Oryctolagus cuniculus: one gene and its partners. The protein of the gene in region 2 purifies or fractionates together with the protein of the main gene of each other region. This does not show direct contact. Links are inferred from orthologs where the notes say so. Each region holds a gene or a part of one and is shown on either strand. Other genes may lie near its edges.

What was found.
Region 1: the proteins of RNGTT (region 2) and PPP4R3A purify together in Homo sapiens (affinity purification with mass spectrometry; 3 studies listed by BioGRID and IntAct, with this or other methods). This does not show direct contact. The link is inferred for Oryctolagus cuniculus from reciprocal best matches to the Homo sapiens genes RNGTT and PPP4R3A.
Region 3: the proteins of RNGTT (region 2) and SUPT5H purify together in Homo sapiens (affinity purification with mass spectrometry; 3 studies listed by BioGRID and IntAct, with this or other methods). This does not show direct contact. The link is inferred for Oryctolagus cuniculus from reciprocal best matches to the Homo sapiens genes RNGTT and SUPT5H.

What each region holds. Positions count from the first base shown.
Region 1 is NC_091451.1:36,887,767-36,893,252, reverse strand, and holds the start of PPP4R3A (serine/threonine-protein phosphatase 4 regulatory subunit 3A), read left to right. Parts: upstream 1-2,236; 5' UTR 2,237-2,373; coding exon 2,374-2,515; intron 2,516-5,486. UniProt on the Homo sapiens protein: Regulatory subunit of serine/threonine-protein phosphatase 4. May regulate the activity of PPP4C at centrosomal microtubule organizing centers.
Region 2 is NC_091436.1:83,492,521-83,498,064, forward strand, and holds the start of RNGTT (mRNA-capping enzyme), read left to right. Parts: upstream 1-2,423; 5' UTR 2,424-2,661; coding exon 2,662-2,725; intron 2,726-5,544.
Region 3 is NC_091449.1:15,496,582-15,501,358, forward strand, and holds part of SUPT5H (transcription elongation factor SPT5), read right to left. Parts: coding exon 4,698-4,777; intron 4,607-4,697; coding exon 4,470-4,606; intron 3,413-4,469; coding exon 3,257-3,412; intron 3,158-3,256; coding exon 3,011-3,157; intron 2,702-3,010; coding exon 2,555-2,701; intron 2,471-2,554; coding exon 2,345-2,470; intron 1,500-2,344; coding exon 1,415-1,499; intron 1,095-1,414; coding exon 984-1,094; intron 901-983; coding exon 798-900; intron 715-797; coding exon 587-714; intron 501-586; coding exon 395-500; intron 88-394; coding exon 1-87. UniProt on the Homo sapiens protein: Component of the DRB sensitivity-inducing factor complex (DSIF complex), which regulates mRNA processing and transcription elongation by RNA polymerase II.

The DNA of each region.
Region 1 (5,486 bases), on a different chromosome or scaffold from region 2:
ACACCCTGGCGCTGGAAATTATTACGTTTTACTTTTTAGAAAAATCAATCCCTTTTCTTTTATCATTTTCCAGTTTTACTTGCAAATCATAAGGTGTCAAACTGGTCTCTGCAAGCACTTGTTTATATTTGAAGCTGCCCAACACCTCACTTTAAAACTGGAAGTCTAGGGCCTGCGATGGGGTGGAAGGGGTCAAGCCGCCGCCAGCAGTGCCGGCATCCCTCATGGGGACAGATTCCAATCCCAGCTGCTCCACTTTCCACCCAGCTCCCTAACAGCCCGGGAAAACAGTGGAAGATGGCCCAAGTGCTTGGGCTCCTGGACCCAGGTCATCAGACTCCGAAGTAGCTCTGGGCTCCTGGCTTTGGCCTGACCCAGCCCCAACCGTTGTGGCCATTTGGGGAGTGAACCAACAGGTGGAAGATCTCTCTCCCTTTCTCTTCTCTCTGTAAGGAATAAACCTTAAAAAAAAAAAAAAAAAAAAAGTCTGGCATCCTGGAAACCTGTCGGCCTAGGGTTGCCACGTGCCTGTTTCTGAATTCGTGGGTGGAGCAGAGGACACTGCAAGGCTGAGGCCAGGGTCCTGGTCACGCGGGGCTCCCGCACCTGCACCTGCTGGACCCGCGACCCCCGCCCAGGGCCACTGAGCCTTCCAAAGGTGACTAGGTGGGCTGAGGACCCGAACTGCATTTTCCTTCATCTTCATTGAGTCCACTTTGAAAACTGAATTTAAAAGCTTAGGATGTGACCCTACTTTTTCACTTGTCAACTTAATGACACCTGGACAGGTAGGGTTCCGACGAACACCCAGCGTCCAAGTAGAGGCTAAAAGACACAGCACATTTTGAAGACATGGGACGTAGGAATGCAATGCGTCTCGTTAATAATTTTATATTGATGGCTGAATACTTTTGAAAATACAACAGAATATTTCTTTAAAAATCGGTTTCTTCGTACCTTTAAAAAAAAAAAAGCGGTTAGTATCAAAATTGAAATTATAATATGCGGCTCGGTGGTTGCTAGCGGACAGGGCGCATCCAGGGGGCCCGGCGAAGGGCGAGACCCCCCAGAAGGTGGCCGAGACTGGCACGACAGGCACGCGGAGAGCAGGCGCTGGCGCCCGTGGCTACGCCCCCGGGGTTCTGGCAACGCCGAGGGCTGGCAAATGCCAGTTCTGACCCCGGGGCACGGGAACGGCCTGCGAAGGGAGCTCTCGAAAGCGTCATCGGGGCTCCGTCCGGGCCCAGCAAAACCGCCCGCAGGCCCCGGGCGCGCCCCGCCCGGACCTGCGGCCTCGCCCCGAAACGCCGCAGCTGCAGCCCGCAGGCCAACGGCCTCCATCCCCGCCCCGGGCAGGTCCCGCGGGCGCGGGGCGTCTCCCGAGGCGGCCGGCGGAGCTCTCGCGCAGGCCGCAGGCGGCCCCGCGGCCTCCACGCCCCTTCCGAGTCCCGGAGCCCGGGCTGATGACGAACACAGGGCGCGACGGACGCACACGCCGCCCCGCGCTCGCACGACGGTGCGTGCAGGGAAGCGCGAGGGAGCCCCGGGCCGTCGCCGGCGCCACCAGCGTCCCCACCTCCTCCGCTCCCGGCGCTCCCGCCGGCCCGGCAGCTCGCCGCCCGCCGCCCGCCTCCGGCCGAGGCCGCCGCCCCGCCGAGGCGCCCGCCTCGCTGCTGTCTCTTTAAATGGTGGGGCCAACGGGCCGCCCCTGCAGCTGCTGCCTGGGTGGCCCCGCGCGCCGCTTTTGAGGGGCGAACCAAGATGGCGGCGGCTTTGGCTCGCTGAGGAAGACGGAAGAGGCGGCGGCAGCGGCGCTGGGCGAGCGGCTTGCAGCGGCCGGAGTCGCTCTGACGCCGGGGGGCCTTCGCGGGCCTGCCGGGCGCTGGTAGCCGCCGCGGCGGGGGCGGGCGCCCGTCGGCTCCGGCCCCTGGGAACAGCGGGAGCAGCGCGAAGCCGCCGGCCGCGGTGGCGGGGCCAGGTACAAGGAAGGAAAACATGGCGGCGGCGGCCTGAGGCGGCGGCGCGGGAAGCGGCTTGGCGGAGATCATGGCGCAGGCGGGAGCAGGGCAGTGTTAACCGGGCCCCGAGTTGCTGCCGCGGCGGGGCGGGAGGCTCCGAAGCGCTGCGCGCCCCCACCCGGGGCGGCCGGGCCTCGCCGGGCCTGGACAATAGCGCCGAGCGGCCGGCGGCGAAGCGAGGCGGCGGCCCTGAGCGCGGGCCCGGCGGCGGGACATGCGGGCGGCGGCGCGGCGGCAGTGAGGCCGGGCAGCCCTCGGCTTGCGGGCGCCCTCCCGCCTCGGCGCCCGCCTTTGCGGGACCCGCTTCCTGGGCGACTGCGGCGGGGCCCCCGGGCCGGCCCCGGGCGCGGGCACGATGACGGACACCCGGCGGCGGGTGAAGGTCTACACGCTCAACGAGGACCGGCAGTGGGACGACCGGGGCACCGGGCACGTGTCGTCCGGCTACGTGGAGCGGCTGAAGGGCATGTCCCTGCTTGTCAGGGCCGAGAGCGACGGTGAGTGGGGCCGCCCGGGGTCTCGGGGGGCCGCGGGTGCCCCCGCCGCATCCGCCGGCGCTCGGGGGCCGGGCGCTGGCGAGGCCGGGGGCCCGGGATCGGGAGCCCGGAGCGCGCTGCTCTTCGCACCCGAGTGACCTTGAGAAAGGCGCCGGTTACTCCCATCTCCTGCCTTAGTTCACCCATCTGTAAAGGAGGCGTGGAACTTTGCGGGGAGCTTAGCGAGGTCTTGGCCGTGCCCCTCGTGGAAGGACATTTCGCGTGGGTTTTTGCTGGTTTGTGGGTGTTCGTTTTGTCTGGCTTCGGCCGTGTGTTTCAGGTCCCGGTGCGGGTTGGCAGCCCTGCCCTCGGCAGAGAACGGCCGCTTTGCCCTGGCCAGGGGAGCCCCGTGTGCCCAGCGTGGTTCTTGGCCACAGCGAGGCAGCGTGTGTTTGTCGTCTCACTGTGCAAATGTCCTGCAAGTTCGGGATGGCTTTCCTTGCTGGCTTTTGGGTTGCTTCAGTGCGTGTTCACGGTTCGGTTCGGTTAACAGGTGGGGGGAAGTTGGCAGGTCCTGTGAAAACCTTTAGCGTCTGCCGGAAGCAGCCCTCAAGGTCCAAAGACCGCGGTGTTTGAACTAGGGAGGCTTCGCCTTTTAAGACTTAATCTGTGCGGGGGTTGCCTCTTTCCCTCCCGGCGTTCTGTGAAGTTCACTTAAAGATGTTCAGGTTGGGTGAAACTGTTTCCAGGCCGTTTCTAAAGTGAAAGAAGCTCTTTCTCACCTATCTTGTTACATTGGCTGGTAACTTTACAGCCCCTAACTGTGCTGCTTGGTTTTGATTGTAGTCCTTCCCTATCTGAATTACTACAAACCGATTTCAAGGAATTGTCCTCATTTGAATTCTACACCGAACTCCAATTCCATGGAAAACAGACGAGACTAGATATTCTGTAATGGAAGACTCGAGGAAATAGATGTTCAGTTTGTATTGAAAATGGTGATTTGGAGTATGTTTACCAGATTATCAGGCTGTCTCTGGTAACTGGAGACAAATAATTTGGGGGGGGGGGCTTCAAAGCTTTAGAAATTGGGTATATTTTTGTGAGATGGAGTTGTTATTTGCCTTAAAATAGAAGCTGAGTGTCTAGAGTTGGTGTGCTTTTGTCCTCCTGTGGGGGCCGTCCCTTCTGTCCTACCCTACCTTTTACATCCTTGCACATTTGGGAAACTTTTTTACACAGTGAATTGGAAAACATCGGCTTAGGTTCATTTAGCTTCTTTTTAGATGAAGAGATATGTAAATTTGAGCTCAATTTGAAATATGCTATTAAAAATAATCCATACAACCTTATTTCAAAAAAAAATCTGTTATCCCCCCTTACATTTTTACCATTTTGGAAATAGTCCCTCATCTGCCTTCCTCCATTTGGAAGGGAGAGGACTCTGAAGTGAAGCAGGGTGGATGCTGACACAAAATGGCTTTGATCTTATCTAACAAGGAAAGGGGGACTGAACTGAACTCCATTACTAATGTGCCCTTTCAGATTTAAGTTATAAGGAAAACTATCCTAAGAATGGACTTAGATTCCAAGATATTTGTGTGACATTGTTGCAAATACTATTTAGTTTGATGATTAACACTTTTTTCTGACAGAAAAACTCCGAATAGAAATAGTCAGAATGTATTGAATGCTTCTGTGTGCCAGAGACGCTGTAAGCAGCTGATGTGCACTGACTTACGTAGTTCCCACAGTCCTGTGTTGTTAGCTGTGTTTTACAAATCGGGAAGCCGGGGCTTAGACATTCAGGAACAGGACCACAGAGCTAGTTCAGAGACGAGGTTAGTGGTCAAATTGAGTGTGTTCTGGGTTTGAGTGAAAATCTAGCCTGTCCCTTGAAACTAGTGATTTTTAAGTTCCTGTATTGCTGTCTGCTTATTTTTTCTGCTTTATTTTTAGCCTGAAGGTTTAGTTGAAAGAAAATGAAAATAATTTTTAGCCTGAAGATACTTAAAATTACAGTTTATCTCTCTAGGTTTATAGGATAATTAAGAATTTTCTTTTTATTGTGATGAGCAAAATGAAAACTATTTCTGATTCTCCATAAAGTGAGTCATTTATCCAATAGAAACGTAAGATTATTGAGCTTTTCCATTCTTGGGCTGGACCTGGTTGTTTAAGTTTTTCCTTTATTTATTTTTTTAGTCTTTTCAAATCAGAGGGATTGACGATGTAAGTGCTAACTTAGCATTACTTTTTTCCACCAGATTCTTTAGACTCTTCAGATTTCTTTAATGTAAGAAAAATAAGATTCTTAACACTTGCAAAATACTTGTAGCCTGTAAAATTAATTAACTTTTGTGATGTGTTAATTACCCATATTATAAATAGGCTGTTATTTCACAGTTCAGCTAATTTAGTGAGAAATTGCTCATTGCTGGGTAGGTGCATACCTGTGAAAAAGGTGGAGGTAACAATTTTTTTACATTTATATATAGATACTCTCAAGAAAGCTAACTAACTTGTCTAAAGCTTACTTCATTGACAGCGTATGCTCTGGTTCTTCACTCAGGTCTTCCTTTTTTTTCTTTATAAAAATGATTTATTGGGGTCAGCGCTGTGGCATAGCAGATAAAGCCGCTGCATGCAGTGCCAGCTGCTCTACTTCCAATCCCACTCTCTGCTATGGCCTGGGAAAGCGGTAGGAGATGGCCCAAGTCCTTGGGCCCCTGCATCCATGTGGGAGACTGGAAAAAGCTCTAGCCTTCACATAGGCCCAGCTCTGGTCGTTGCAGCCATTTGGGGAATGAACCAGCGGATGAAAGACCTTTCTCTCTTTCTCTGCCTCTGCCTCTCTGTAGCTCTGCCTTTCAAATAAATCTTTAAAAAATGATTTATTTATTTATTTGGAAGGCAGACAGAGTGACAGGGCAAGATAGATCTTGTGTCCGCTGGTTTACTCCCCCAATGGCCGGGACAGCCAGATCTGAGC
Region 2 (5,544 bases):
GGATTCAGCCTGGCCCTGCCCTAGCTGTTGCTTTCATTTGGGGAGTGACCCAGCGGATGGAAGATCTCTCATTCTCTCCCTGTCTTTTCCTCTTTCTCTTTGTAACTATGCCTTTCAAAATAATACATTTTTCTTGTTTTTAAAGAGGAGGCCAAGACATATTTGGGAAGCTGAGTTGGGGATCCTAGAAAGCCTTATTGCTTCCTCTGTGGGCATCTATTTTTTAACTTAATATTTTATTATTAATTTTTGGAGATACATTTTTAATTTACATTATAGTGGAAGGCATAGAAAAAGACCATAGTCTAACAGAAGAATAGGAAAAGGCTATAGACAATAATCAAATGAAAAGATACTCAACTTCACTCATAATTTTTTAATTTTAATTTTTAAAGATTTATTTTATTTATTTGAAAGACAGAGTTATACAGAGGTAGGGACAGAGAGAGAGAGGTGTCTTCCATCCTCTGGGTCACTCCCCAAATGGTCACAATGGCTGGAACTGTGCTAATCCAAAGCCAGGAGCCAGGAGCTTCTTCCAGGTCTCCCATGTGTGTGCAGGGGTCCAAGGACTTGGGCCATCCTCCACTGCTTTCCCAGGTGCATTGGCAGGGAGCTGGATCTGAAGTGGAGCAGCTGGGACTTGAACAGACTCCCATATGGGATGCTGTTGCTGCAGTCTGGGGCTTTAACCTGCCATACCACAGCGCTGACCCCTCCACTCATAATTTTAAAATAGTCACAAAATTATTAAAGCTGCAGTAGCATATAATTCCCATCAATTTGTTTGACAAAGATTTAAAACAAAGTTTTAAAACAAAACACTGTATTTGCAGTAAAATTGATACACATGGACATTTCATTCTTTTTTAAATTTTAGTGGTCATCTATTTTTTTGCTGAATAGCAGAGACCTGGGAGTAGGAGCAAGATAGGTAGAAACACCTACCAGGCAAAGGAGAGAGAAACTGTTCACTCACTTGGATGCAATGCTCCCACCCTACTCTGCACTGTGGCTGGGCAAATGGGAGCCACAGTGTCCTACCAATCTGTGATAGTGAGGGTGGAGAGGGGATAATGGACAGTGGAGTACAAATTGAGCAAACACTGTTGCAACAACAGAGCCAATAGCAGCTGCTCAGAAGTGGTTTGCAGCTCTCTGTCTAGGCAAGAGCTTCCCGGGTGGACACAGTGTATGGGAGAAGGAAAGCTTCCCAGGGGAGTTGTCTCCAGAAGGGAGACCCATATTTGTCATGTTTTGGCTACCAACAGGAAATACCTGAGGCCGGCTGCTTTATAAAGAAAGGAGGTTTATTTTGGATCATGGCCCTGAAGATTCACAGTTCAAGACTAGGCAACTCCCATTGGTACAGCCTCTGGTGACCGTGTTCTTTGCAGAATTCTGAGTTGGCACAGGATATTACATGGCAATAAATGGGCAGCTTGCATGCTCTACACCGTCTTTTCCACCAGGATTCATAGAGGCTACACCTTAATTACCTAAAACAATCTAATCTCTTCCCAGAGATGAGACCCTACCTCTATGTATCCTGACCACATTACATTTCCATTCCTTTCAGATCATTCACATATAACTTTGGGAACTAATTCGCATGAGTTTGCAGATAAAATCATATTTGACTTATAGCAGGGAGGAATGATATACCTTTGCTAAAAAGTCTGAGCCGATCTCAGTTGGACAGACCAGGCGCGTGATCTAACTCAGCCAGCCTCAGAAAGTCACTGGGTTCTCTTTAATTGTGGGAGAATCCTTCTTCCACTGAGGTGGTCCAGGTATTGAAGAGCTAAGCTGCCCAGAAAATTCTCCACTGATTCTTTTTTCTTTCTTTCTTTCTTTTTTTTTTTTTAAAGATGTATTTATTTACTTGAGAGGCAGAGTTACAGACAGAGGAAGAGACACAGAGAGAGGTGTTCCACCTGCTGGTTCATTCCCTAAATGGCCACAATGGCCGGAGCTGGGCCATCTGAAGCCAGGAGCCAAGAGCTTTCTCTGGTACTTGTTCCTCTGATTCGCATTAAGGGGAATCTTCCCATCAAACCCAGATCCGGGCGGGACACAAAACTTGAGCTGTGACAGTGGAGAGAGGCCTTTTTCATCAGTACAATTAATGCCTTTATGAAAGCTACAGGTCAATGAAATCATGAAAAAAAGCTTGCTGTCCTTCTAGTGTGTGGGATTGTTTTTAGTCATCTACGTGGGAAAAGAAAATACTATACAGGTCCCTCACCCCGGTACGGGACCGGGATGACTGCGCACGCGCAGAGGCGGTCTGCTCACGCTTCGCAGCTCGGAGGGGCGGGGCGAAGGTAGCCCCGCTCCACCCATTCGCCTTGGCTTTAACTCCTTGCCATCCCTCCGCCGAGTTTCCTTTCTTTCCCCTTTGACCTCGGAAAGAAGGGGGCGGGGACTTTAGGGGGCGGAAGTCGCGGTGCATTGTGGGTTCGGATAGAGCGGCGGAGTTGAGCCTGAATGAAAGTGGCGCGCCGCCCCTGATGTTATCCGGCTAGGAGCGGCTGGCGTTCGGATCCCAGGCGGTGTTCGGGTGCCGCGGACCTCTGGTGGGCACCAGACCTCGAGGAGGCGGCGGCAGAGGCGCGGCGAGTGTTGGTGAAGCCGAGCGGCTCTGCGCGGCCCCAAGACATGGCTCAAAACAAGATCCCACCGCGGTGGCTGAACTGTCCTCGGCGCGGCCAGCCGGTTGCAGGTAACCCGGGCAGGAGGTGTTCCAGGTCCCGCACCCACACGGGCAGGGGGTGGGCCGCCCGGGGAGCCCAGCTTTCGGTGGTCCCGGGTCTGTCAGTGATATTTCAGGACCCCGATGTGCCGGGTCGAGAGAAGCTTCGTGGATGAGTGTTTGGGACCGCGGACGGGAGGGGGTGGGTCGGTCGATGGGGGTTACTTGTCACTGCGCCTGCAAGGCTAAGTGTTGCGGACGGGATGGTTTGTGCGGCAGGAGTGGAGGACCCAGGACACTGTAGACAGTACTTGGAAGCTTACAAGTTTGTGAATCTTCTAGGGTTCAGCCCTCCCGTTGGAAGGAGACAGGGCGGGTTAGGGAGGGAGAAAGGATAAGGAGGAGGAGGGCATGTAGCGCCCAGTGGGGAAAACGGACCGACACCGAGGCTGAGAAGACGGAGGTTTTTTGTTAAGTGACTTTTATTGTGGGTTTTTCATCTCTATTGAGTTTGAAATATAATAAGCTTTAAAGTGTACAGTTTGATAAATTGAGACTATACGCACGTATACATTCTAGGAGACACCTATGAAACCATGGCCCCTCAAAGTTTCCCCTTGTTTCTTGGTAATCCCTTCCTTCTTAGGCAACCAGCCATCTACTTTCTATAGATTAGTTTGCATTTTCTAGAGTTTTTTAAATTCTAGAAATACTGTATGGGAGCATATAGTTGGGGTGTGCGTGTCTGGCCTGTTTTTCTCAGCTGTGCTGTTTAGAGACTCCTTCAGGTTGTTGCGTGGATTGATAACTCATTTCTTTTCGTTGCTAAGTGGTATTCCTTTTGTTAGGGATACTCTGTACTTTGCTTTCTGTTCTTCTGTTGATGGTCTTTAGGGTTGTTTCCAGTTTTTAGCTATTACAGATAGACTTGCCGTGAACATTCGTGCACAGTTATTTGGGTGGAAATCTCTAGGAGAGGAATGGCTGGATCAGGTATAGGTGTACGGATAGTTTTCTGAGAAACTCCTGCTTCTCTTCCGAGGCAGTACCATTTTCCGTTGCTGCCATCAGTGCATTTTATTTGTTCGCGTGGTCCAGGACACTTGGTGTGGTCAGTCGTATTAGTTGTAGCCATTGCGATAGATGTGGAGTAAGATCTTTACGTGGTTTGATGTTGAGCGTCTTTTCACGTGCCTCTTGACTACTCATATCTTCTGTGAAGTATCCAGATCTTTTGCTGATGTTGAAGTTGGGCTCATCTCACTGAGTTGTTAGAGTTCCTTATACAGTCTCTGTTGAATGTATGTTTTTGCAAGCCTTTTCTCCAGTCTGTGGCTTACTTTTTCATTCTCTAAAATTTCTTTTGAAGGGTGAAAGCTTGACATTTTAACTAACTTCAACTTACTGCTTTTTCTAGGAGCTAGTTTTGAAATGAAATTAAAAGATTTTGTAGCTAAGAGTATTTACTAATTATGTACATATTTATTGTGAGCCTAATTATTTCAAATTATTGAGGAGGAGATTCTGTAGACACTTTTTGTTTAGGTTTGTTGAATCTTCTAGTTTGTCAGATTTTTGCATTTTGTGTAAAATCATCAATGAAGCATACAAACAATGGATAAAAGTGATATTGAAGATGATCTAAGCAACTCTTAGTGTATATTTGGAATTAGAAAACAGTTTGCAAATCAAATTGAGTTTTTTTTTTTTTTTAATTTATTTGAATGGCAGAGTTACAGAGAGAGAGAGAATTTCCATACATTGCCTTCATTCCCCAAATGGCCGCAATGGCCAGGGCTGGGCCCTGTGGAAGCCAGGAGCCAGGAGCTCATCTGGATCTCCCATTGAGGTGCAGGGACCCAAGCACTTGGGCTGTCCATTGCTTTCCCAGGCACGTTAGCAGGGAGCTGGATTGGAAGTGGAGGATCTGGGTCTGGGACTGGATCTGGTGCCCATATGGGATGCCGGTGTTGCGAGTGGCTGCTTAACTCTGCCAGGCCATGACGCTGACCCCACCAGTCAAGTTTTTAAAAAATTTTTTGGGAAATTGAGCTAAACTAGTGATGGTGTGCTCCAGATTTGTGGTGCTCAAACTTTAGAGTATCTCAAAATAAAATGGAAGGCTTATTAAAACCTCAGTGGCATCCACCCTTAGAATTTTCATTTTTCATTAGTTCCCAGATAATGCTCTTGATCCTGATCTGGAAACAAATTATTTTTTTCATGGAATTTTAAAACAGAGTTTTTTTTTTTTTTTTTTTTAATGATTTAATTATTTATTTTTGAAAGAGACAGAAAGAGATATCTTCCATCTGCTAGCTTACTCCCCAGGTGGCCACAATGGCCAGGAGTGGGCCAGGACAAAGCTAGGAGCCAGGAGACTTACCTGGCTCATCCACGTGGGTGGGCAGGGGCCCAAGCATTGGGGCCATCCTCCGCTGCTTTTTCCCAGGCCATTATCAGGGAGCTAGATAGGAAGTGGAGCAGCTGGGAACCAGCACCCGTGTGTGATCCTGGAGTCTCAGCTGGTGGCTTTACTCACTATGCTGCAATGCTGGCTTCTAAAACAGAGTTTTAATAAAAGACTCACAACTTGGCTGTGGCAATCAGAATACTGACTTTAGTTAGAAACATAGGACAAAAGTGGCACTAGTTGGAGGACTGGTAGTAGTGAGTAAGGTGCTTTGATCCAGACAGTTTATATCTCTCCGAGAAAGGGAGTTGGGTGCCTTATTAAAAATCCTACTCTGCAAAAGCAGTGGAAGATGACTCAAGTGCTTGGGCCCCTGCACCAGTGTGGGCGACTGGAAGAATCTTCTGGCTCCTGGCTTTGGCCTGGCCCAGTCCTG
Region 3 (4,777 bases), on a different chromosome or scaffold from region 2:
GGTGTTTGGGGATTGGGAGTTCCCCCGTAGGCCTGAGGGGATGGGGTGGGCTCATCGTCGAAGGCGTATTCATATTCTTCCTCAGCCCTGTTGGACCAGACGTGTTGAGAACGATGTGACAGATGCATGTGGAACAGCAAAGCGCACCGGGCCCCAGACGGACTCCTCGCAGGAGCCCCATCCAGAGGTGTCCCGGCCACAGCCGCGACTGCTGCAGGGGAGAGAGCTGCACGCCCAAGGTCACGCCCAGCACTAACCCAGCCTGGAGCAGCCTGTTTTGCCCAACTCCAGCCATGCCTGCTCTTCCACATGGACCAGCCTGGGCTTGGGAGCAGAGAATTCCCCCAACAATACTCCAGCACACACCCCCAGTGTCTGGAACCCTAGGGCTCACCGTGATGGCGTGTTGGGGTTATTGGGGTCCCAGGCCCCACTCTGGGCAGGAGTGCGGCTGCCATCATGCAGGGGTGTCTGTGAGCCATAATGTGGGGTACGGCTGCCTGGAATTGGGGAGACAACGGCCATCAGTTCCGCCCGGCCTCCGGTTCCCCCAGCCACCCCTCCCCCATCCCCTGGGAGGGCTCACCATCCTGCAGCGGCGTCTGAGAGCCGTACATGGGTGTGCGGGAGCCAGAGCCATACATAGGCGTCTGGGAGCCGTACATGGGTGTCCGCCCATAGGTTGAGGTCATGCCACCAGGGCGCTGTGAGCCACTGTGAACAAAGAACAAGGGGGTGAGGAGGACCCTCTCAATGCCCACCACACCACCAGGGCCCTCCCTCAGCTGGGCCCATACACTGTGGTAAGCCGCTGACGGTCCACAGAGATGGTCTGGCAGGTGGAATGCAGCTCCACGCGGGCCGTGGATTCTGTGGCATCCTTCACCACGCCGATGTAGCCTGGTGGGAGGTGGGGGGTCAGGCCAGGTGGGGCGCTCGTGCACAGCGCCCTCCCCGGGCCTCCACACGGTCTCACAGGTCACCTTTGTAGGGCCCCTGGGAGATGCGCACAGTCTGGCCGATGAGCTCATTGTCTCTCCTGCCCCGGCCTCTGCTCATGCCGCCACCTGGGCTACCAAAGTCACCACGCTGACCTGCGGAGGGAGGAGAACATCACCAGTCCCCCAGGGCCGTACCCCCTTCACGTGCTGGGCCCACAGCCAGGGCACCCGCAAACCCTCTTCCCCTGCTTGTCTCCCCCCTAGTTGGGTTGGGAGCCTCCTCTGCCCCAACCCCTGGGCCTTCCCATCACAGCCCTGACCACTCTGCTGTCACTGTGGGGTTGGGCTCGTCTTCCCCCGAGCTCTGAGCCCTACAGGCAGGGCCTGGCCCAGAGCAGGTGCTCAGGGAGAATGGGCTCTCCTCCAGCCCCTCCCCACCACCCGACACATCCCTGGCTTCTGACCCCTCTCACCTCCAGCGCTGGGATGCATGGGGCTGCTGATCCGGGGGCTCATAGGGGCAAAGCCACCCACGGTGAAGTTGGTCATATCTCGGGGCTAGGGGAGGGGCAAGGAGTGAACCTGACAGGCAGGGGATGGGGGTGGCAGGGCCTGGGCAACAGGCCGCAGCCCCTACACCGCATCGACCGCCTCCATGTGGAGACAGTCCCTGCGTCACCTGCCCAGCAGCCATCCCTCCCTCCTTCAGGGGAACGGCTGGCCCGCTGCCACCCTGGGCCTGTCAATCAACAGCCCCCGGCCTCCTAGGCCAAGGAGCAGGACTGAAACATGACAAGTCAGGAATTAAGTCCCTAGCGACACAAAAGCCGCAAGCCGTGAACGTTCATCATCCCATCTGCGGGCCCCCGGAGTCCACCTTCTGGGCCCAGCTACTGAGACCCCAGGCCTGACTTCCCTGCCGACGCCCGGTCTGTACACTTTTCTGCAAGTCCCATCCGGGACCTCGGCACGTGCTGTTCCCCAAGCTGTCCGCTGCCCTCCACACCTTCCTTCAGTCTCTGCGCAAAGGCCGCACCTGCGGAGGCCTTCCTTCCCCTCCTCTCGGAGCAGCCCCTCCTTTCTCCATCTCTCCCCGTCTGAAATCCCCTCGCGGCCTTGCCAGCACCCCACAGGACACGTACGCTCTCCTTCTGCTCGGCTCCAGGAAGGCCAGGTTGGGTCTTGCTCTATCTCATGTCTGGCACCCAACAGGGGTTCAAAAAATAAAACTGAACGACGGAGTGAGCGGGGGAGCTGCTCAGAATCCCACACTCGCCAAGGACCTGCCACTGCCACCTGCTCTCTCCTAATCCCCCACAATCCAATCTCCTCCCACCTAGAGCCAGAGGAGGCTGGAGAGCTGAGCCAGGCCGCCACAGACGGGGTCACCACACCAGCCTCACCTTCGAGCCCCCGGCCAGCACCAGGTGCCGGGTCTTGCAGACAAACATGCCTCCATTCTCCACCAACTTCTTGCAATGCAGGAAGGCGAAGATGTGGAAGATATAGCGAATCTCGCCCTCGCGGCCCTAGGAGGCAGAAGGGTCACTCTCCTGCCTGCCCCGCCTTGCCCCCGACTTCCCAGTGGGCTCAAGGGCAGGGTCTGCACTCACTGAGTGGGGGCCATCGATGACCTTGACGATGTCTTTCACGTGGATGTTGTTCTGTTCTGAGTCCAGGGACTCAGCAAAGCGGTTGTCCTTCTTCCGGGTCACAGCTTGATGCCTGACGGTCACCACCTTCCCGTACATGTTCAGCACCTACGGAGGGACACGGAGGGTGGCAGGGAGTGAGGGAGAGATGGGACACGCAGGGAGTACAACAACCTCAGACCTTCTCATGGAATGAACACAGATGCTGCTATTATCCCCATCGTCCAAGAGTGAAACTGAGGCAAAGAAATACCTGCCACCTGCTCACTGTCACAAAGCCACAAGTGACAGGGCCAGGCCTGCAACTCAGAGGGCGCTGGGTTCGTAGCCACTGTGCTTGGCCACCACCCGCCCCTACCCCCAGGACAAGGGGCTCAAGGGAAAGGAAGCTCCCACCGCAGAGAACTGGGCACACACCTGGAAGGTCTCCCGCTCCAGCCGCACGATGACGCCCACAGTCTGGGGGTCCAGCTGCACCATCTCACCCCATTCGTGCTGGCCCCCAACATCCACACCTGACGCAGTCTCTGAGCAGAGCTGCAGATCCCGGGGCAGCACCTTCAGCTGTGGGGGAGAGGGTGAAGGTGTGAGCAGGGTCTGGTTTTCTGGTCTACCCGGGTCTCCTCTAGGCACGTGCCCCAACCAGGCCTCCCGTGCACCCACCTCGTGCATGGTGAGGTCGGAAAAGAGGATGACGAAGTTCTCCTCCACCCGCACAATGAGGCCTGTGTCGCCCTCAAAGCGGCCAGCGATCACCTTCACGTGGTCCCCCATCTTGAAGTATTTCCGGAGTTCCTGGGCCGGGAACTCCAGCATGTCCTGGGGAAATGGGTGCAGGGACACTCAGGTGGGGGGCGGCACCACACCCACCCACCCCCCCCATCCTCAGAAGCCACTCATTTACTCGGGAGACCGGCTCAAACCTGCTCCCTGAGGCCACCTGGAGAGCTCTCAGACCAACACAGCGGCCCCCACACACACCTTTACCCACAAAGAAAGACGAGACACACGATGTGTCCCCCAGAGACGGCTGACCCTCAAACACATGACACACCAGACAGCCCACCCAACAACCAACACAACCCACATCACCCCAACACGTACATACCCGCTCAGAGCAATCTGATTTGTCACATACTCAACCTGATACATTCCCAGATACCCTACTTTTTATACTTCTTTTTAAAAAGATTGACTTTAAAATAATGTTTATTTCTTTTTGTTCACAGAGCAACAGAGAGAGAACTTATACCCACTGGCTCACTCCCTAATGCCCCAACAGTTGGGGCTGGGCCAGACTAAAGCCAAGAGCCCAGGAACTCCGTCTAGGTCTCCCATGTGGGTGGCAGGGGCCAAGCATTTGAGCCATCAAATGCTGCCTCCCAGGTGCATCAGCAGGAAGCGGGATCAGAAGCAGACGAGCTACTCTGATACACAATGTGGCCATCCCAAGTGGCGGCTTAGCCAGCTGAGCCATTAACACCTGCTGACCCACCCCTTAAACCACACATCCTCCTTCAAATGGCCACATGCAGGCAGGACACACACAGTCCTTCCCTTACGCCCCAGGAGAGAAACACAGCACACACACCCCATGTACACAGCCAGGCCTCCACATACAAACAGTCCAGCAGTTCCCCGGAGACCAGAAGCCACAGGCCAGGACCACAGAAACTAACCATTATTTCATCCCAATCACAAAAGCAGGTCTGCACTGACCCCACCCAAGTGCACATGTTACGACCTCACCAAACACTTGAAGGCACTGGAAAGTGCTAGAAAGGTCTGGATGTGCCCTACAACACTGACAGACGTCCCTGCCCGGAACTCCAGTCCCTGCCTCTCGGCTGAGTGAGCAGAGGGACCCGGGACCCACCTTGAGGTCCTCGTGCTTGGGCATGATGGTGACCTTGTTGCCGTCCACGCTGAGGATCTTGCCCTGCAGGTTGATGAGCTCCCCCTCACACACCTCCACGTTGTCCCCAGGCTGTAAGTTGTGCTCTCGCTCCTTCCCTGCGGGGGCAGCCAGAAGGCTGAGGTGGGGGCTGCCCCTGCCGGGCCGCCCACTCCCTCTGGGCCTGAGCCACGGACGGGGACCAGATACCTGTGCTCTCAGTCACCACCTCCAGGTCGATGCCCTCCGGCTGGTCCTCAAACTTCTCCAGCTCAGAGAGTGTGGGCTTC